Linked DNA regions of Oreochromis niloticus. The protein of the gene in region 1 interacts with the protein of each later gene in a biochemical or structural test. Links are inferred from orthologs where the notes say so. Each region holds a gene or a part of one and is shown in the gene's direction. Other genes may lie near its edges. The genes, in order: dapk3 and pawr.

The links.
Region 2: of the proteins of dapk3 (region 1) and pawr, one has a biochemical effect on the other in vitro, tested with the Homo sapiens proteins (2 studies listed by BioGRID). The link is inferred for Oreochromis niloticus from reciprocal best matches to the Homo sapiens genes DAPK3 and PAWR.

Annotation. Positions count from the first base shown.
Region 1 is NC_031982.2:22,820,256-22,830,484, reverse strand, and holds the start of dapk3 (death-associated protein kinase 3), read left to right. Parts: upstream 1-5,594; 5' UTR 5,595-5,746; intron 5,747-6,428; 5' UTR 6,429-6,479; coding exon 6,480-6,541; intron 6,542-9,384; coding exon 9,385-9,745; intron 9,746-10,229. UniProt on the Homo sapiens protein: Serine/threonine kinase which is involved in the regulation of apoptosis, autophagy, transcription, translation and actin cytoskeleton reorganization. Involved in the regulation of smooth muscle contraction.
Region 2 is NC_031981.2:15,982,960-15,993,069, forward strand, and holds the start of pawr (PRKC apoptosis WT1 regulator protein), read left to right. Parts: upstream 1-5,468; 5' UTR 5,469-5,678; intron 5,679-5,910; 5' UTR 5,911-6,046; coding exon 6,047-6,613; intron 6,614-10,110. UniProt on the Homo sapiens protein: Pro-apoptotic protein capable of selectively inducing apoptosis in cancer cells, sensitizing the cells to diverse apoptotic stimuli and causing regression of tumors in animal models.

The DNA of each region.
Region 1 (10,229 bases):
CCATTAAAGATGTACAAGATGTACCATTGACTGTAAACAATGTATTTTTAATCTGTAATCACGCCATGAGGGGGGCGTAACCCTGATGAATGAAACCATTCTGAACTGAGCTGTTCGGGGAAGATCGATGCTGGTGCTGCAGTATACATCTTCCCATGTGTGTGCTCAATAAATCATTGTTTGACTTAATTCTTCTGGACCAGTGTTGTTTTGTGCCCTCCCTCAATATTTGAACTCGCGACAGCATCCAAACTGCAAATGAATCGCGCATGAACGAAGCCACAGCAGTAAATGTACATTTTTCTTTGTCTAAACTAAATCAATGCACTAAAACATCATTCCAACACAGTCACTTACTCACTTCCTCCACTGTGTGTGAGCCTCTCTGTGACATAAGCTAAACAAATAGCTAGCTAGCTCATCAAGTCTCAGTCTAAACTGTACACTCAAAAATACAGAAAAGAGTGGGAATCAAACCCTGAATTTAAGGACTGGTCGAAGCCGTTTATTGGAGATGATACTCTTGCATACTGCCTGTATTGCAAGGCTGATTTCTATGCCAAACTGAGTGATGTGAAAAAACACATGCTAACACAAAAAACATACTCAAAAGGCAAAGCCTTATAACAGTTCCACCCAAATGAAACTGCCGTTTATTACTAAAAAAAAGTGACTCTGCAAAAAGTTTATTATTCTTTAATAAAGCTATCGCTGAACACTGTTCCATGCTGGCATGTGATCATATTGGAGAGGCATGTAGAGCTGCTTTCTCAGACTCCACTGCCGCTACCCATTTCAAAATGCACAGGACAAAGTGCACAGAAATGATTAATGGTGTTCTGGCACCATACTTTCTGAAAAAGTTGGTTGCAGATGTGGGTAATCAGCGTTTCAGCCTCCTCCTCGATGAGTCCACAGATATAAGTGTTTCTAAATGGCCTGGTAAATGGCCTGTATTTATATAGCGCTTTACTAGTCCCTAAGGACCCCAAAGCGCTTTACATATCCAGTCATCCACCCATTCACACACACATTCACACACTGGTGAATTCTAAGTACCTGGGGGTTGTCATAAGGTACTTTAGTGACACCAAGGAGACAATTGTGTTCAATTTTCTTGGGCTTGTTGAGTTGGAGGGAGGAGATGCCAGATCTATAGCTCGTGTTGTTGTGGCTTTCCTTGAGAAGTGTTGTCTTAAAAAAGACAAACTCTTGGGGATAGGGACCGACAATGCACCTGTGATGACAGGGATTAACAATGGGGTCCATAAAGAGCTGAAGGAGGAGTATGGCCTCAAAGATCTTGTTCTTATTCGCTGTGTATGCCACTCTCTGCAGCTTGCTGTAAGTCATGCTTCCAATGACACCATACCCCGTAGTGTGGAGTACTTGGTTTAGTGTCTCCAAAGCGCAAGGAGGTCTACAAGGCCATTTATGAGACCATCACCTGTGAGGAGAAACCTTTACAGATAACCAAGGTGTGTGCCAAACGTTGCCTCTCCATTGAACCTGTGGTTTCACGCATTTTGGACCAGTGGGATGACCTTAGGCTGCATTTTGCAGTCAGCAAGTCCAGTGAACATTGCTACATGACTGAAGTTTTACACTCCATGTACAATGATCCTCAAAATATCTTGTACATGTCTTTTCTGAAGTCATTGCTGGGAGAGGTACAGACCGCCATCAAGGCTTTTGAAGAAGAACAGGTAGATCTCTTAAACTACTTTACATCTTGGTAAGCCTGATCAAGTCTGTGAGCAGCAGGGTGCTGAATCCACTGGCAAATGTTGATGTACTCAAAGAGCCAGTAGAGGGATACATCAGTTCCAAACCATACCTTGGTTACCTTTTTTGAGTCAAAAGCAGCTGAGTTGCACCTTGCGCCTGAGGATGAAAAAAATATCAGAAAGCAGTGTGTAGCCTTTACCATATCCCTCACTAATGAGTTGAGGGTGAGACTGCCTGACAACATTGAAGCATTGCAGTACATGTCAGTTTTCAATGTGGAGGAAACTCTAAAGCACAACAAGAGCCCTGGAGAAATAGAAAAAATTGCTAAACTCTTTGGCTTCTCCCCTGAAGTGATAGATAAGATTGTCCACCAATGGCATACCATCCATCTTAGGAAATGGAATGAGACAAAAAACACAATAGACTTCTAGAGTGAGATTTGGAAGTACAGGGATGCAGCTGATATCAACCCGTTTTAAGAACTTGCCATGGCTGCTGTGTCTGTGTTGTCCTTGCCACACTCAAATGCTGAAGTTGAGAGAGTATTCAGCCAGATGAGTGTGGTAAAAAGCAAACTTAGAAATGTCCCTGCAGAGCCTTAACTCCATCCTGTGCATCCGATATGGACTGAAGCTGTCTGGTGAGGCTTGCTATGAGCACCAGCTGCCTGATAATGTTTTGCAGCTTTTTGGCACATCAGGTGCTTACTCATTTAAGTCAAGTGCTACAGTTGCTGAACCTGCCATAGAGAATCTTGACGAAAATGAGGATGAGCCACTAGTTCTGTGAGCCAGCACAGCCTATGTGTTTGGAGAGATACCTGAAAAACACACACACACACACACACACACACAAAAACAATCAGCCTGAATTAGGAGCAGACTAGTCCCCATCGTTTTTTTCACATTGCGACTGTTTATTTCTACTGTCTGTTTTTGGTCCATTTAGATTCCTAATGTGGTTTGTTAACAACAGTATGGTTAAAAATGTTCAATTGATGACCAATTATGCAAATTAGGCGATGAGGTCATTTAGCGACTTGTAGCGATTTTTTGGACTGCCAATAGCGATTTTCCTTACTGAGGAGTTGGCAACACTGCCTCCAGTATGGGCCACTCCAGAGCCTTTTCGACAGCGCTGCAGACCTTGGGGGGAAAGCATTGTTGTGGAAATGACACAGTCTTCACTAGTGGGGATAGTTACAAAGCTTTCTTCGTTATGAATTAGCGATAAATGTTTTTATTGAACATTTGAAGATAAAACAACACAAACTCTTGTAAATGACATAAAGTCAGAGATAGAAACGGCAAGGAGCAGGCGCATCTAGTACACGTAGAGCTGCCACAGAGCTCAGCAGGCAGCGCCACAAATTCTGGATCCTTGGCTCTTAGTTAGCAGTTAGCATTAGCAGCACATGGTGCGTCCGCTGTGAAAGGGCCTTTATGCTGCGCACTGTGACTCACAGCAGTGGTCCCGGGTCAGCCCTGACTTTGTGTTAAAAGAATCCTAAAGTAATAATGCTATTTCTAATCTACAAACACAAATCTTTTTTACACACACACAAATTCTCATCTGTAGATGCACAAACATAAAATTCTTACATATTTTGGTTTACAAGGTTACAAAACTTAGTTCAAAATTATGCATTTGATTTACCAGCACAAAATATTTATGACCACAATTTGAGCCCATAAATGGCACCAACCAAGTGCAATTTTCCCCATGTAACAAAGTATTTAATTCTATTTGTAGTGTTTTATTCTACTTGGCATTTCTATTTTTATTTCTTTTATAGTACTTATTCTATTATATGCAGTATTCTTTCTATTTTATATAGTATGTTATTCTGTTTATCTTAATATATTCTCCTTTTTCTCTTAATTTTTTTTTTTTTTTCCTGCTCTTGTACTTCCTGCCGTGACCAAAAATTTCCCATGTGTGGGACTAGGTTTATCTTATCTTATCTTATCTGAGATAAAACAATTATCATATGCTTCCACACTCAGGTGTGGGATTTGCATCCTTTCACCGTCCCTGGTGGTCTAGTGGTTAGGATTCGGCGCTCTCACCGCCGCGGCCCGGGTTCGATTCCCGGTCAGGGAACTCATTTTTCAAACAATGTCAACTTTGTACACCTTTGAGCACATATCAAATTCTAATTATGAACTCCTTGGCTCTTTTAACCAGATTTATGCAGAAAACGAAATATCCTGCTGTCCAAATCCTCACTAGCATCATAAGGCATGGACCTTATGGATACTGTCGTCCTTATTTAAACTTCAATCATAATATCCAAGAGCAGAGTGTGGAGGACTGCATGGGAAAATCCGAGAAGACATGAGGGTCTACTCGGATGTCTGCATACTGTGTATTTTTTATGATCAGTACTTGTCCACAGAAACAAATACATGTTGTTATTAGAGCCTGTTTCTACCAGCAACTCCTTACCTTTTTGATCTTTTAACCATGTAGACTCTCAGAATAGCATTCAGGTCAGATGACCAGATGCGTCTGGTCGCACAGAGTAGCAGATTAGAGCACTGATGAGATCTTATCTCTGCTGTACCTGCACCTAAACTTTGGAGCAAACCAGAAGCTCATATTCAACACATGTTCAAAACATGTTCATTCTAAGCCTCCATCTGGCTGACGATATCAACATTATATGCACGATTCTGAAAGCGCCAACACGGGTTATCTATGGTCCCTGGTGGTCTAGTGGTTAGGATTCGGCGCTCTCACCGCCGCGGCCCGGGTTCGATTCCCGGTCAGGGAACTCATTTTGAAAATGCAAGAACGACCAAAGTCGCTGAAAGTGCTGTCCATTCCTATCCTGCATCAACCCTCCTGCTAAAATCCCGGCCTATTCCACTAACCAGATAACTACTTATTATTTTCCAGAAAACATACTCGTATTGTGTCTAATTAGAGTATTTTAATAAGTTAGTCGTTATTAGAAACCCCGTTGTTATGTGTTCATGTGTATCACTGTCTAATAGTGTGCCTCTTCCCTGCTCTGGCCTCTCTTTAATTTTCGCTGCTGCATGCTGGGTCTTGTTGCTCACTGACGTACTGCAGCGGGCTGATTCACTCAGCATGATGTCATTCCATATGTCCTCCCTTCTGTCCGGTGTTTACCTGCGTCAAGATGCGCAACGACAGCGGAACTTAAACCACTTCAACTTTCACAATAAAGGTTTTCTTACGAAATCAAGGCTAAATATTTCTATTTGCCTGATAAGCTCTCAACTTAAACTTAATGCAGTGGTGCCACATAGTGTGAAATGATTCTTATTAGTTTTTTATGGCTGGTTCATATCTTAAACATATCAAAAAAAAAATTGCCAAAGAAAAAGAACTGCTCTCGTTTTAGCCAAACGAGAGCTTAGCTGTGGTTTTGTGGGGCCTTAAATAGAATTTGACATCACCCAAGCTGACCATATCTTGATTGAATTGAAGGTTTGTTTGATAATTCTGTTGATCTTACATTACTGATACGTATTCATGGAAACATTTCTTCACGCTTCTCTTTTTTCTTTTTAGCCCCAGAGGGATAAATCCTTTTGGTATAGAATAGAATAGGTCTTTATAGTCACTGTTACAAAAACAGTGAAACACAGTTTGGCATTCTCCGTTGGCACCATGTAGATTTACATTCAGATTGTTTTAGCATAGGAGAAAAAAGATAAAAATAGACATAAGTTTAAGGGTACCTTCTCAGGGAATGTGTGTAACACACAATAAAGTAAGTATCTACACAGTAACACAGGCATTTACGGGGGGGGATTGAAGATGTTAACACGTTAATTGGGCGTGACCAGGATGGACAAGATTAGAAATGAGTACATCAGAGAGTGGTTTGGCGACTGCGTTGTTTGGCGCCGAAGGTTATTGCTTTTACTTTTGAAGGGCACCGGAAGCTGTGTTCCGCCGCAGTTAGCTTGATGTTTCTCAGTCGGGGAGTTCACACACAACTACTTGGCAAAGGAATGCAGCACTCGTAGCCAGCCGTACTGTAAGTATCTGTAGTAGAAATCCCTTCACTTTTATGTGACTGAATATATGCGTTGTTGTCAGTATTTGAGTTACTATGAATCCTTTTCTTTGTCTTTATTAAGCGCTGTGTTTCTACAGAACGCTAATGTTAGCTTCACAGCTAAGCTAGCTGCTTTCCGTCGTCGGGATTCCCTTTATTTCTTTCCTTAAGTTCTTTAAACATCCTTCAGATTCTAATAAGTTAACACGATGATCCCTTTTCACGAGTTTACCTTTGTGTTTGCTTTAAATAGGTGTTCCTTTGTGTCGTTTTTCATTTATGATGGAAAAGTGCAATATAAACGTCGCAATTTAGCATCTTTTTAAAGTCATTATCTATGTATGGTCAGTTAAACATTCATTCATTTGGCTCGTAGTTTGTTATCTAGCCAGTGAAAGGTAACATAGTTGGTTGTGTAGTCCCTTTAATTGAGTCGGAGAGCTGATCCCGGGAAGGACATGATGTAGTAGGACTGGTATGCAGAGGTCTGACATCAGCTAAAAAGTCTCCAAAGCAGTGTTGACTCCAAATAAGGAGGGAAGAAGCCCTAAAGTGCTAACACTGTCTTATCACTTCCTCCATACTCTGTACTCTGTGGTGTCTGTGGCCTCTGTGTCACATATCCACGTTTAAGTTTTGTTTTTTGTTTTTTTGACTGCAGGAAATCTGAAGGCGTTACTCCCATCATCATCATCATAAGAGTCAACACACCATGGCTGGCTTCAGACAAGAGGATGTTGAGTTGTACTATGAGATGGGAGAGGAGCTGGGGAGGTAAGCTTTGTGGGTCTTTTTAAAAACATTTAATTGAAAGCATTATATGTGAAAACTCTGCTGTCTTCTTCATTGCTGTCCTATTCAGCTGTTGTGCTGTATGCTTCAGTTCATCTGAAAGTGTAAGGACACTTTTTGCTGTAGTGCTTTGATGACAAAGTTTGGTTAATTTGTAAAACACATTTTTTTAAGTTCCTCTTTTTAGGATGTGTAAGTGATATTTTTTTTCTGCTTGTCAGTGCTCCATAATTAAAAACAGACCTAAATGTGAAATGCAATCATCACACAAGGCTGCTTGAGATGGATTTTAATGCCAGGTCGGCATGATCTGAACAGGGCTAGATATTTGATATGTGTGAGCAGTAGGGCTGCCACAAACGATTATTTTGATAGTCGACTAGTCACCGATTATTTTTGCGATTAGTCGACTAATCAGATCATGCATCCATTGGACGTAAAATGTACACCTGAAAATATGTTAAACGTTTATTTTGTGACCCAGAAAGAATAATAATTGTAATATTAAAACTAACTAGCTGCCGCCATTGTTGACAACTGCGCTGGGCCGCGCTATGAATTCTGGAACACAGTTTCTTCTTCTTCGGGGTTTAATGGCAGCTGGCATCCTTGTACATGCAGTGCTGCCATCTTCTGTTTCAGTCCGTTATTACACTCTTAAATACTACTACTTATTCCTGCGTCTTTTGGGATCTTACAAAGCTTCAAACGACGCGTCGACTATTAAATTAGTCGTCGACGATTTTAATAGTCGACGTAATCGTGACTAGTCGACTAATCGTGGCAGCCCTAGTGAGCAGCACTGTATTAAATGCCGTCTTTAATCCTTTTCTGCTGTGCTGGATAGTTTGTGAATGAGTCATCACATTTTTGGAGATGAAACACAACTTTCTGGCTTAGCTTTTTTTTTCTGCAGTAATGCAGCAAAAGTGTGACGTCACTGCCTCTCATTGTGCCTTTGCACCTCTGCTGTAGTGTAAGAGAGGGGACTCTGTGTGTGTGTATGCAGATACTAAATGGATCTAAACCACACATTTGTGCTTAATAGTCTATGTGGAATAAAACAGACTTTTCTTGTTTTTAGTTGTGTTAATGATAGTTTTGTTGTGCTGACAACACACTATTTTGCTTTCTTGAGCTTCAGTCAGAGATTTTAACTTCTGTTTGGATAACAGACATTTCATTTAATTCCGGATGGAGCATTTTCAGTGGCAGAAACTTTTTGTCACTCATCCAAGTAACTTCTTCAGTTCAGTCTCTGCTGACTGCAGACTGCAGCACCACTGATTAACAATGGGCTGTGAGGTCAGTTTCATGATCATTCATATTCAAATTGTCATGACCATTGATCAGTGCCCAAGAGTACCTTTGTGAGGATAGTGTTCTCTCTGTGTTGTAGTGTTCTGATGATGACACATTTGTGCTCTAGTGGATGACGAGAGTCAAAACCTTAAATACTGATCCGTGTGCGTCGGTTTACGGTACACGTCGACTTTTAAGTGTCCCCCATTACTGATGGAAATTTCACAGTCTAAGAAGGCTAGCACAGCACAGTTGGACCAGCAGTATTTATACTTGCAGGCCAGTGACTCTTTCAGTGATGAGGATGTACACATCCTGCACAGGGAGCATTTATGTGAAAATGGAAAGACCATCTGTGAATTGAGGAAGGAGCTCAGGGTACATCTTTCACCATCTTACAATGCTGTGATTGCAGGCCATTGATCATTGGCCATGATAATTTGCATATCAATGATCATGAAACCATTGTTAATCAGTGGTGCTAGTTTTGATCATCATCATCATGTGCGGTTTGTTGGGGAATTTTGGCTCTAGAATACTTTGGTATACAGAAGAATTCGGTGTCGAGTCAGTGACTGTAGGGTGTCCGTGTCCTGTGGCTGCAATAAAAGGCTGGATCATCACCCCTCCACCACCGTGTTTGATAGTTGATGTGTTGTGTTTGATTTTGCCATATGTTGGTGTGCATTATGGCCAGATATCTCCACTTTGGTCTTGTATGTCCAAAGCAGATTGTTTCAGAAGTCCTGTGGTTTGTTCAGATGTGATTTTGCTGCCAAGTTTTTTGTTTGTTTGTTTTTTTTCCTTTTTTTTTTCTTTCCAAAAATTTAACAAACTTTAACATTTAATATGTTAACTGAGGTCTCTAGAGTCTGAGATGTAGTTCTTGGGTGTTTTTTGCAGTTTCTCTGAGTGTTGAATGGTCTGATGTTAGGGTGAATTTGCTAGGATCTAAACTTATGGGATGACTTAATGCTAAAGATTAGCAAACTCCCAAAACCTATGCTTTTATAGAGGTCCTCACACTTACTGTTGATCAAGTGCATTTGATGACTTGCAGCAGCTGGCTGGCACTTAATTCCTGTGGAGGCAGAAAGGGTGTGCTTTGTTTGCCAAAGGACTGTAAATGGGCTTGACTTTTTGGGGGGGTTTTTTCCTCCTCTGGTTAAGCCGTATATGTGAATGGAGTGATGAAAAAAGCAAATAAAACAATTAAAAAAGACAAGACATGACGGGTTTTGACACTACAGGATTTTACTTGAATTTGATCCAAGTTCATTGTCTATACAGGGTTTTATTTACAAGATCTGAAATCCAGAAAGGGCAAAAGCAGGAAAAAAAATAACACTAGATACAACTGATGTATTAGCTAAAAGCATTTTGAAGTCTTTCCTGATAAATATCTACGATGATGGACAGAGTTGCAGTATCTTCTGCTTAAAAAACATCTTTTTTTTCCCCCCATCAACACATGAGGTAGGAGAAAATTGCATTGACATCTCTCTGATGTTTCCTCTCTGCAGTGGACAGTTTGCCATCGTCCGTAAGTGCAAGGAGAAGAGCACAGGCGTCGAGTATGCAGCCAAGTTTATCAAGAAGCGGCGCCTGTCGTCCAGCCGGCGGGGGGTGAGCCGGGAAGAGATTGAACGCGAGGTCAACATCCTGCGTGAGATCCAGCACAGCAACATCATCACCCTGCATGACATCTTTGAAAACAAGACGGATGTGATCCTGATCCTGGAGCTGGTGTCTGGAGGAGAGCTGTTCGACTTCCTGGCAGAGAAAGAATCTCTGACCGAGGAGGAGGCCACGCAATTTCTCAAGCAGATCTTGGACGGCGTTCAGTATCTCCACTCCAAACGCATCGCTCACTTCGACCTCAAGGTCAGCACTGAGGGGAAACTTGAGGGGCTCTGATACAGCAGTGGTAGATGACATGTTGGTGTGAGCAGACAAACACGCCTGCCCTGATTATTGTGGGGTAAAAACATGCTAAAATATATTTTGGGTTAAATATCTTAACATTAATGAAATCATATTTTCAGGGACGACTACTCTCAATGGGGTCAATGTAATCATCTTATTTTTGATAGCTAAAAGTCAGACATAAGCTTCTAAAAAAGGAAAAGACTACTAATCTTTATCGATAAAGATATGGTGACCAAAACATTTAAACTGTACTGCAACATTTAAGTTCATGAGGATAGAATAAAAATCATATAATAGGATTATTTCTGTATTATTTTAGTTGGTGAATGATGGCAAGTACAGGAGCAAAGCTTATTTTTTGGACTTGTATGTAAGCTGCTGACAGTTGTGATAAAATGCAAGTGTCACAGTTCAAAAGCTCAAGTAGAAAATGCTGCTT
Region 2 (10,110 bases), on another chromosome or scaffold:
CGGTTATTTGAGTTATTGCTGCCTTCCTATAATCTTGAAGCAATCTGGCCATTCTCCTCTAACCCTTGACATCAACAAAGTATTTTTACCCAGAGCTGCTCAGCTGATTTTTTTGTCAGAGCATTCTCTGTAAACCTTAGAGTTGGTCGTGTGGGGAAAATCCCAGTAGATCAGCAGTTTCTGAAATACTCAGCCTGGCTGGTACCATCAACCTGCATTCAAAGTCCCTTAAATTACCTTTCGTCCCCATTCTGATGCTCAGTTTGAACTTTTTTGACTACGTCTCCATGTGATGATCTGATGAACAGGTGTACCTAATAAGGCAGTGGATTCATCACAGGAACACCTGAATTGTGACTCTTTTCTTCTATGAAACAACAACACATCACAATCACCAGATTCTCATTTAAAAACAAACAAAAAATATTTCTCAGGCTTTCTCTTGTGAAAATCCCCCATTCTGTGGACTCCTGGCCCACTCGGCATCTGTGTGCAAACATCTGGGAGGCTTGGGAGAAACATTTCGTGAATACTTCCCTAGATTGGACAAACAATTTCATGGGGGAGCGAGCTCGATTGAGTCTGCTCGCTACAGAATTACCCACCTAATAGCTCCTGACTGCAGCATTACTGTCAAATAAATGAAAATGTGTGAATGCAAGAGTGGCCATTACACACTGTTATGTTTAATATATTTTTACGTGCACTGCTCATTTTACAGCCTAGCGAGCGCTGCATTTTATTCCTCTTTACCATAAATGTGTTATGGGTTACAAAATGCATGATAGGGCCACTTATTAAAGCTCTCAGAGTCTTGTTGGGTACTTTGAATACAAATTCAGTGTTCATTATATACAGAGCTTGAGCTTGGCTATTTCGGTAATGCATTACTGGAATGCTATTGGGCATTTAAGTTGCACAGCAGCGTTTGTGTTGGCATGAAAGGAAACACTTAGCGACAGCCTTTAAGCACCCCCGATCCTCATTCTTTTTTTTCTCCCCCTCCTCAACAGCAGACAGAAATATGCTAAATATGCAGCAGAGTGACCCGAGTCCATAGATCAAGGTTTATTTTTAGGAGAGGCACCTCACTCCCATGCTCCACCCAGGTTTTCTCATTATCTGTACCAGGGTTAGCACATGCAGAGATAATGGCTGAATGCCTGGCCTCCCACTCGCTCCTGAGACACGTAGATAGGTCACATTTTCTGATCTTTAAGGCAGAAAAACACCGATCTAATAACATGTAAGCCGATTCTATTTCAGATATGTACATTTGAGTATCTGTGGTAAACTTCCCTTAAAGTCAGTGCACCCTTGTGAGCAAGCTGGCCGCACACAAATCTAACACCAAAAGGCTCATATCCTTCAGCACAGGTGAGTTATGGGGCTATTATCGTAGCATGAAATTAGGTTCCTGACAGTAAGCACCTATAGCAGGTTTAAATCACTGCACGGGGAGAAACCTGTGCTTGTACAGTTGGGTAATGGCATGCACGTGGCTGGAATATAACTGGAATGCAATGCAGAGTAATAACAACGGAGCTTTGCAACAGCATGCTGCAATGACTCGCAGGATGTTGTATTAATTACACTTCCTCTAACTTCGGCTCATTATGCAGGAGAACTCCAGAACAGGTTTGAAATGATAATGATGTCTTTGGGACTTGTTTTTAGAAACAAAGTTATACATAGACTCGACTGAAAGCTGCAAACCTGCTGTATTTTAATGAGCTGGTAGCTGTTGTGCGGCTTCCCATCATATTAACTCCTTGTTTTGAGTTTGTGCTTGAGCTTAAAAACAGTTTTATCATTTGTTGACTCCCTCACAAAACTGTCACTGCGCTTCTCGTCCTCGAAGAGAGCTTCTCTGGCATTTTCTTTGTGCACTAATAATAGAAGTATACTGGATTTGTGAAGCACTTTTCTTGAAAGCAATGATCAGGCCTTAAGATGTTTCATGAAGAAGCCCTAAGCCCTGTGAAGTCACACAGCCGTGGCTCAGGAGACAGCGTAGGTCATCTAATGGGAAGATTGGTGGCTTTGATTCGCAGCTCCTTCAGTATGTGTCCCAAAGTGTCATCAGGCAAGACAGTGAACACCAACAATATGTAAATATGTTGCCTCACAGCAAGAAGGTCCTGAGTTCAATTCCACCATCGGGCCGGGGTCTTTCTGTATGGAGTTTGCATGTTCTCCCCCTGTTTGCGTGGGTTCTCCCCGGGTTCTCCGGCTTCCTTCCACAGTCCAAAGACATGCAGATAGTGGGGATAGGTTAATTGGAAACACTAAATTGTCCATAGGTGTGAATGGGGGAGTGAATGTGAGCGCAAGTGGTTGCCTGTCCAGGGAGTACCCCACCTCTCACCCTAAGTCACCTGGGATAGGCTCCAGCACCCCCCGCGACCCTGAAAAGGATAAGCGGAAGTGAATGGATGGATGGGTGTAGGCGGCTTTAAATGGCTGATAAGACTAAGAGTGTACTATAAATTCCAGCATTGCGCCCATATTTTATATCTTTTACTTAATGATAGGAAAGCTACTTATGTTAATTCATTTAACATTTTAATTGCCTTTTCATGTAAACACAGAGATAAAATCGTCATAGCAACACAGACTGATGTGTCACAGCTCACTGGGGCAATTTAAGTAACTGTAATTATGTTACTTTCAATGAATAATGGACTGGTGCTTATATAGTGCCTTTCTACTCTATTTAAGCTCTCGTAACGCTTTCTTAATGCAAGCCTTATTCACCCATTTGTGTTGTTTTGTTTGTTTTTCTTAACTATAACATTACACGCGCAACATGCAGACCAGAGGAGCTGGGGGTCAAACCACTGACCTTCTGATTAGGAAGCAACCTGTTCTAGAGCCACAGTCACTCTACAATACAGACCCAGCTAACTCACCTGAAACCAATCTTTACTCTTTGGGACTCATTTTAGTTTGAAACGGCTGTAATTGCATAAAAATATCTGTATCATTTACAAAAAGTTACAAACACAAATCATGAAGATTGCTTGTGGCTTATCTTTTCAATCTCAGGTTACAAACATCACTAGAACTGCATTTTGCTATCTTAGAAATATTGTCCATGTATCAGGAAATTATCAGAGGGAATGGAAAACCAGCAAGCTGTCAGTTATATCATCCGCAGGATTTTTTTATGCTGTGACAGTGGATTATTTATTGGTCGAGCAACTACAAGATGAATATTGTCTTATTGATTTTACCCTGCCTCTGAGGGGTGTATAATCACAAACCTGTCACCTCACAAGCCCAGTTCTCAGGAGAAAAGGGAAAACAAGATGGGTCACGGCTCCCACTTGGAATATAAGTTCAGGAGAAAATTTGAGACTCTGAGACATACCCACTTTAGTATTTAGATGAAAATCTGCTGAAGCCACATATGCGGTGTGTAACTGAAATCTTGCTCTTTTTTTTGTGAACTAAGCGGAAATTGAATTTTTTGTGTTAGTGTGTGATGTTTAAGAAATGGCAGTCAAACAATCCTGAGATTTATTTGGACTCAGAAATCATCAGCACAGTTTTTATGATCATAAACAGTTTAGTTAATTTGGACACTGCATCAAAACAACTCCCTAAATACACTCACCGGCCACTTTATTAGGTGCATGTTGCCAGCATCAGTTTTTTTTGCCTTAATGTGTTATGGAATTGATTCAACAAAACTGAGGAAGCACTCCTCAGAGATTGTTGATCATTGTATGGGAAAATCCTAGGAAAACAGTTGCTTCTGAAATACTCAGACCAACAACAAAGTGCTGCATTCAAAGTCAGCGAAATCATCTTTCTTCCTCACTCTGATGCTCGGTTTGAATTTCAGCATGTCATCGTGACCATGTGTACAGGTCTAAATGCATAGAGCTTAAGTTATGTGATATCCCTGTTTAAAGGCTCTTTCTGAGATCTCAGATTGAAATTTTTTGCTCTTTTTTAATGTAATAGAGGTTTATTATTGTTATCAAACATGTGTTCTGTCTACTGAAAGCCTTATTTAGAACTTTGAGGACTCAGATATTTCAGAACAACAACTGAGTACAGATATAATTGCATGTCGATTTTTAAAGTGAAGTTTTCCGCTGTCAGCGAGGTTTCAACTTTGAGCAGCGCACATTTCTTGTAAATTGTCAAGTCATAACAAAAAAAAATGAAATGAACTGCTCAGTCATCGAAAGTTGCCCTCACCCTACCCGGGGATCAAGTTTCCCTGAAAGCAGGTTTTTCATCTGATCAGAGCTGGTTGGGTGAGTTATCGGGTGCCTAAGGGACTCTGTGGGACCTGCGTGAGAGAAGGTGTTGAGAAATGCCCTTGTGCCGAAGTGTTCCACTGTGACTGTGCAAAGATCAAAGGGCCACTGAAGACGTGAAATCAGCGACACTGTTGCTGTTGACACAAGTCGAGCCGCAGAGGTGTACGGGGACTTTAACAATCACATTTTCAAGGTCTCGAACTTCCACTCAACTCTCAGAGCAAAACAGAAAGTTTTCAGTGAATTACAGAAAGCTCTTAAAGCAAGGAGTGGATGGATTTTCAAGGACAGGTCTGGACCCACCAGAGGGTCCAATTTGACCAACTGATGGCTAAAAAAAGTATGAAAACAGCAATGAAATTGTAAAAAATGAATTTCGATTGCTGAGTGGTGATGCAAAGCCAGCATAACTACACAGGGGTGAACAGAATTTTAGACCTAGACACATTGTTCGGATCATAAAGAAGTAAAATACGAATGTTTATTACAAAAGAAACTGTACATGTGAAGAGTTGTTGCTTTTGCACTGTTAAATACACATGCACATGTTATGACAGCAGACCTTATTCTTGCGAAGCTGTTAATCATGTTCTTGTAAATGGGTAAATGGGTGGCTCATCAAAGGGGACAATGCTTCTTCTTTACACTTTTTCTTCTTACCGCAAGGTAATAAAAAGTTAATTTAAAGAGCATGAATGCAGATCTTATACAAATGAAAATGTTTATCAAATTTCTAACTGACAATGGAAGCAATCCTTTCCTTTCTTTGCCCTTATTAAAGAAAGGGAAGGAGTGGTTGCAGTCATTTTACTGGTCTTGGCTAGTTTTTGTAACACAGACAGATAAATTATAGAAAATTATTGTCATACTCACAGTGAAGAAATATGTTCCCCTGTGCAACAATAACAAATGGCAAACAGAAAAGAATCCACATACAAAAATAGATAAATAAAATAACTGATGATTTAAAAACAACAGAAACAATTGTAAAAAAAATATCTGGGCTGCTTGAAACTTTGTACATATACACTTTACACAACTTACATATAAGGAAGCATGAAAATGCAGAAATGTTATCATAAAAATAATTAACACAACTATATTAACCTTTATCTTTATGGAAATATCGCCGATAAGTATTGTAAAAGCTATAACAAATAACCTTAAACCCGAAAGCACCTGTGGGAACAGTGAAGAGTTATTACACAGCGCCCCTTCTCTGCTTCGGCTTCAGTCGGAAGTGTTCGCGCACTTTCGGGATTCAAGCCGGTGTTTTCAGAGGAGTAGAGCGAGCACGGCGGGTCCCAGCTCCGCAGACTACAGCAGTTCATGTGAGAGCAGCTCGGGCACACCTGGTTGGACCGTGAAGAGCAGTTCAGCGACCGAGACAGCTCCACTCAGGTGAGTTTCTACCTGAATTTAGACCTTTGTTGTTCTCTCGTCCACTTCTCCACACTCTGACTTTCTTCTTTCGGGCGGAAAGTTACCTTAGAGATAAACAGACTTTGTAAACTTACTTTTTAAACAAAACCCGTCCTGCACGCTGAGTATCGCGAGGTGGAGGTGAGAACGCCTCCATAATGAACAGCTGAAAGTTTACTTGTCCTGACTTTATTTTCATTCTACCTTTCAGCAGCTCCCGAGTTAATCACTTGAGGAATGTGGTGCAATTAGGACGGTGGCCGAGAGCTGAAAATTCATATCAACTTCAACTTTTAAGTTACTTTTTTTCCTCACTTCGACTTTGAACTTATAAGAAAAAAGGGATCATGGCTACAGGCGGATTCAAGTCAAGCGCCGCGACGGACTTTTTGGAGGAGTGGAAGGCAAAACGGGAGAAAATGAGAGCCAAAATGCTGGGGGACATTGCCGCAGCCACTGGTACTCCCTTGGGTGCCAGCAATACAAACAGCAGCCGCAACGCCGTTCCTCCTCCATCTCCTCCTCCTCTTCCTTCGGCCACCGAGTTCACCAACAACGGCAACCCGGACCGAAGCTCCTCCGCTGGGAACTGCCACCCCTCCTCCTACGCGGTTGCTCGGTCCTCCTCTGGCACTTCTCTAAAGAGGCCCGAGGAGGAAATGCACCACCCCGTGGCACCCTCAGCCACGCCGGGAAGCAACCTGAAGAAGGCCCTGCCTCAGCCGGAGAAGACTCAGGACTCTACTCCCATGGCTTGCAACGACAGTGACAAGGAAAGCCCGTCACCCAGCAGCAAGGGCAAGGAGAAGAAGAGCACCGGGCCCAGCGCCAGGAAGGGGAAAGGACAGATCGAGAAGAGGAAGCTAAGGGAAAAAAGGAGATCCACAGGTGTCGTGAACATACCATCCAATGAGGTGAGTCGGGGGAAAAGAGGGCAGAGATTCACCTCAGCATCAGAATGGGTATAACTCGGAGGCTCGTTTTGGGATTGGTCATGTTTTTTCTCTATTGGGAATAAAAGTATTTCCAAAAAACTATTAGTGAAAGTTAGTCTCTTGTATGTGGAAATGGGTGGATGCTTGATGCTTGTGCATTTTTATTTTTATTTTTGTAAGGAAATAGTGGCTTCTGTGTGTTGCACTTGAACACCACTTGCCTTCCTACACTCCAAATTCCTCCCATACATGTGTCTGGTTTAATTGAGCCTCTGCTGGACTGAAATGAAAGCAGTTCTCAGATGGTGGGAGCGGGTGGAGGTGTACAGTATGTGTGTTGCACATTCATTGTTGTTGGATTTAAATCATGTCGCAGTCCTGCCTGATTCCTGTGGTTCAGACACATGCAGGAACTCTGATATGAAGCTTGGCCAACACTGAAAAAACACTCAAATTACACGGAAATTCTCGGAATAGATGCCCCCCCCCCCTTTTTGTTTTTTTGTTTTTTTTTGGTAAGGGGATGGTATTCTGGTGTCTTTCAAAGTGGTCTGTGACCACCTTTCATTCTCCTATTTGATAGCCACCCAGAACAATATGCCCCTGGGGCAGCACAACTTGGAGTTTGACCAGCCTGTCAGTTGGAGCCCCACATCCTGTTATTAGGTGCTCAGCAGTGCCGAGCAAAGCCGTTTGAAAACTGGTCACAAGCCAGGCTGTAATGCTGGGCTTCAGCACTCTGGGCTGCGCCAGATATGCTAGATCGAGCCCATAGGCAGCTGATTATGTAGTAAAGTGGGCGAACCGTCTATTATTGGGGGAGGTAGGAGGTGATCTGATGAGGTGGTGAGCTGATTTGTGTGAGCGGGGAAGAGAGAGAAAGAACTGGAAGTGCTGTGGTCTGAGAAAGTTTGTAGAACTTCCCGAGGCAGGTCCTTATCCCTAAAAGTATAGTGAGTAAGAGTATAAAAGATGGACGTACCTGCTGGTTTTTAATTCAGCTTTAAGTGTCCAATGAAAGAAACTGCAGGTTTTCTGTGCACTAGGCTTGGGTGCTATGGTGATGCTGATGTGCTTGCAGTCCAACACTGTGTCCAGTGTGCTTGTAAACTATTTACATACCCTAATTCCTGTCAGCGCCTTGCAATTCCTGTTAATGTTCTCTTTTAATTGTTATTTAAAAGTTATGTACAGCTGAAGGCAGATCACTACATTTGTTAAATAAAATGACAAATACTATGCAGATTTAAAAAAAGGTTCATTGCTGAAAGCATTTGTATTCATCCGACTCCACAACTCAGATTGGTAGGTTCTGATCATCATACTTTGTCAACCGTCGGCACCTGGAGTTGGATAACAGTGATTAAACTGTTCCGCTTATCTTCCGTTAGCGGTGATCAAATGGAGACCTAAAGCCCAGGTGACTGCAGGCAGCCAAAGATCAATCTTTGACTTTTGTCTTCAGCTGCTGAAGTACCTCTGCTGGTAAATATAATGTGACAGATTTCCTGAATGGGAAGCCAAACTTTTCCTCAAGTCGGGCAATCAGAAACCTGCGTAACATGAGATTAATGCATGTGTTTCGCGTTATAGTTAGGCCGGTGATTTCGAAGGAGCATCCCCAGGGACATTTTGACACGTCTCCGATGCTTTCGCACACCCGTGCCAGTTATTCGGACGGTCAGCAGGGTCAGACGGTTATCAGCTTAGACGATCGTATCAGTTTGGCAGCTATGTCAGAGTTACGTAAATGCATTTGTTTACAAACAAATTTATTTATTAATTTTTAAATAATGACTGTGAACCAGCTATGAGATGATAAGCCTCCTGGATATAATGGATCTAAGGTTGTGCTTGCACTGAGCTCATGTGTCTCCCTTTCGTGCACAGATCAGTGGACGCCATGATTCTTTGTACTTTGAGGCTTTTTTGTGTTTATTTCTGGGTACAGTGCTCTCATCTGCCTTCCTGTATTTATCACATTTCAGTCATACTGCACGGAAGCAGCTCGTCTTAAGGAAGTGCAATCAAACCAGATGATTACCACGCCTGAGATCAGTGAACCATTCCCAATCTCATCTGTTTTAGTGGGCTGAACCGAGCACGATGAAGCATAAACGCTCGTTACTGAACTGGACTTTGGTTTAAACATGCTCGCCTGGTTTGAGTTCACCATTAAAGGGTGTACTCCTATAATCAACCTCCAGCATCTTAAATTTGTCTCGAGTATTTTCAGACTTCCTAAAGTTGCAGTTTGAAGTCATATCCTGCACTGCCTCTGGTGCAGTAACCCCTTCAGGAAAAAGTAAAGATTTGCAATTTTAATTACTGTATATCTCATTAACTCAAATATAACACTCAGACTATACAAAAAATATAAAATTTAAATTTTTTGATGTTATATTGTTCTCTTTATTGATGAATTAGTAACGTCAGCTCCTACTTTTTATCTGTATTGAGAAAACTTAGTGCTTTTGTTGTTTTAGTTTAATATTCTTCTTAATATTCAAATTTTTTTGGCATTGTGTCACCATTTAAAAGTAATGTTTACCCATAATCCAGCTTTAATTATGGAAGCTTTATCTCATGGTTTGAGATCCTGCAAGCTTTGCACACAGATGGAAACACAAAAATCCAGAAACCGGTTGCCCGGCAGATGGACTCCTTTTGTGAAAAGTTTTCTCTTTTCTCCTCCTGTTGGATTGGGGGGGGGCAAACTATGCAAATGAAGACTTCCTCACACAAGCTGCCTTTGTGATGTGAATATTAGTGGACAGGTGTGAATAGAGATGCCTGGGATTATCTCCCCGCTCGTTCTGTGCAGCATAATAGCTGCTGAGCGGGATTTCATAGCATCCTGGGAACCCAATCTTCTGCCTGTTGAGGCCATAATGGCCCGATAAAAGCTCCCAGCTCTGCATTGCATCAGTCAGTACCTCCTCCAGCGATCCGGGACGGTGTCTCCTTTCTCTCACCCTGCTCACTCCTGCGGGTCCGAGGGCATTGTTGCCGATGCTGACCTTTGACCTGCACCGCACATTCATATGTGTCTGAGGAATGCGAAAACAAGAGCTTAGATTCAGTGAGTTCTCTTATCTTAAAATGTTTTGGGTTGTGATGTAAGCATGTTTCCCATCAGATCACGCTGCCTGCAGTCTTGTGGTGATGATTCATGTCGGTCATTGTGCCGTTGCTTTTTAAAAAAATTCATGACCTCTGAGAGTTATGAGGTTGTGGTCTGCCGCTCCAGCCAGTGAACTTTGTTTCATGTACATGACTGAGTCTGCTCCACAAACACTGCTGGGGAGTGTGGAGCTATTTGGCCCCTCGGAGCTATTTGTCTGCAGCGTCATTGAAAAGGAGGTCAACAGGTTTAAGGTGCAATGCTGGGCCGAGTGCTCACGCAGTTAACACTCTGGTGATGGGATGATACAGGAGACAAGAGGGCTCCCTGTTTAACCTAGTTATTTGCGACA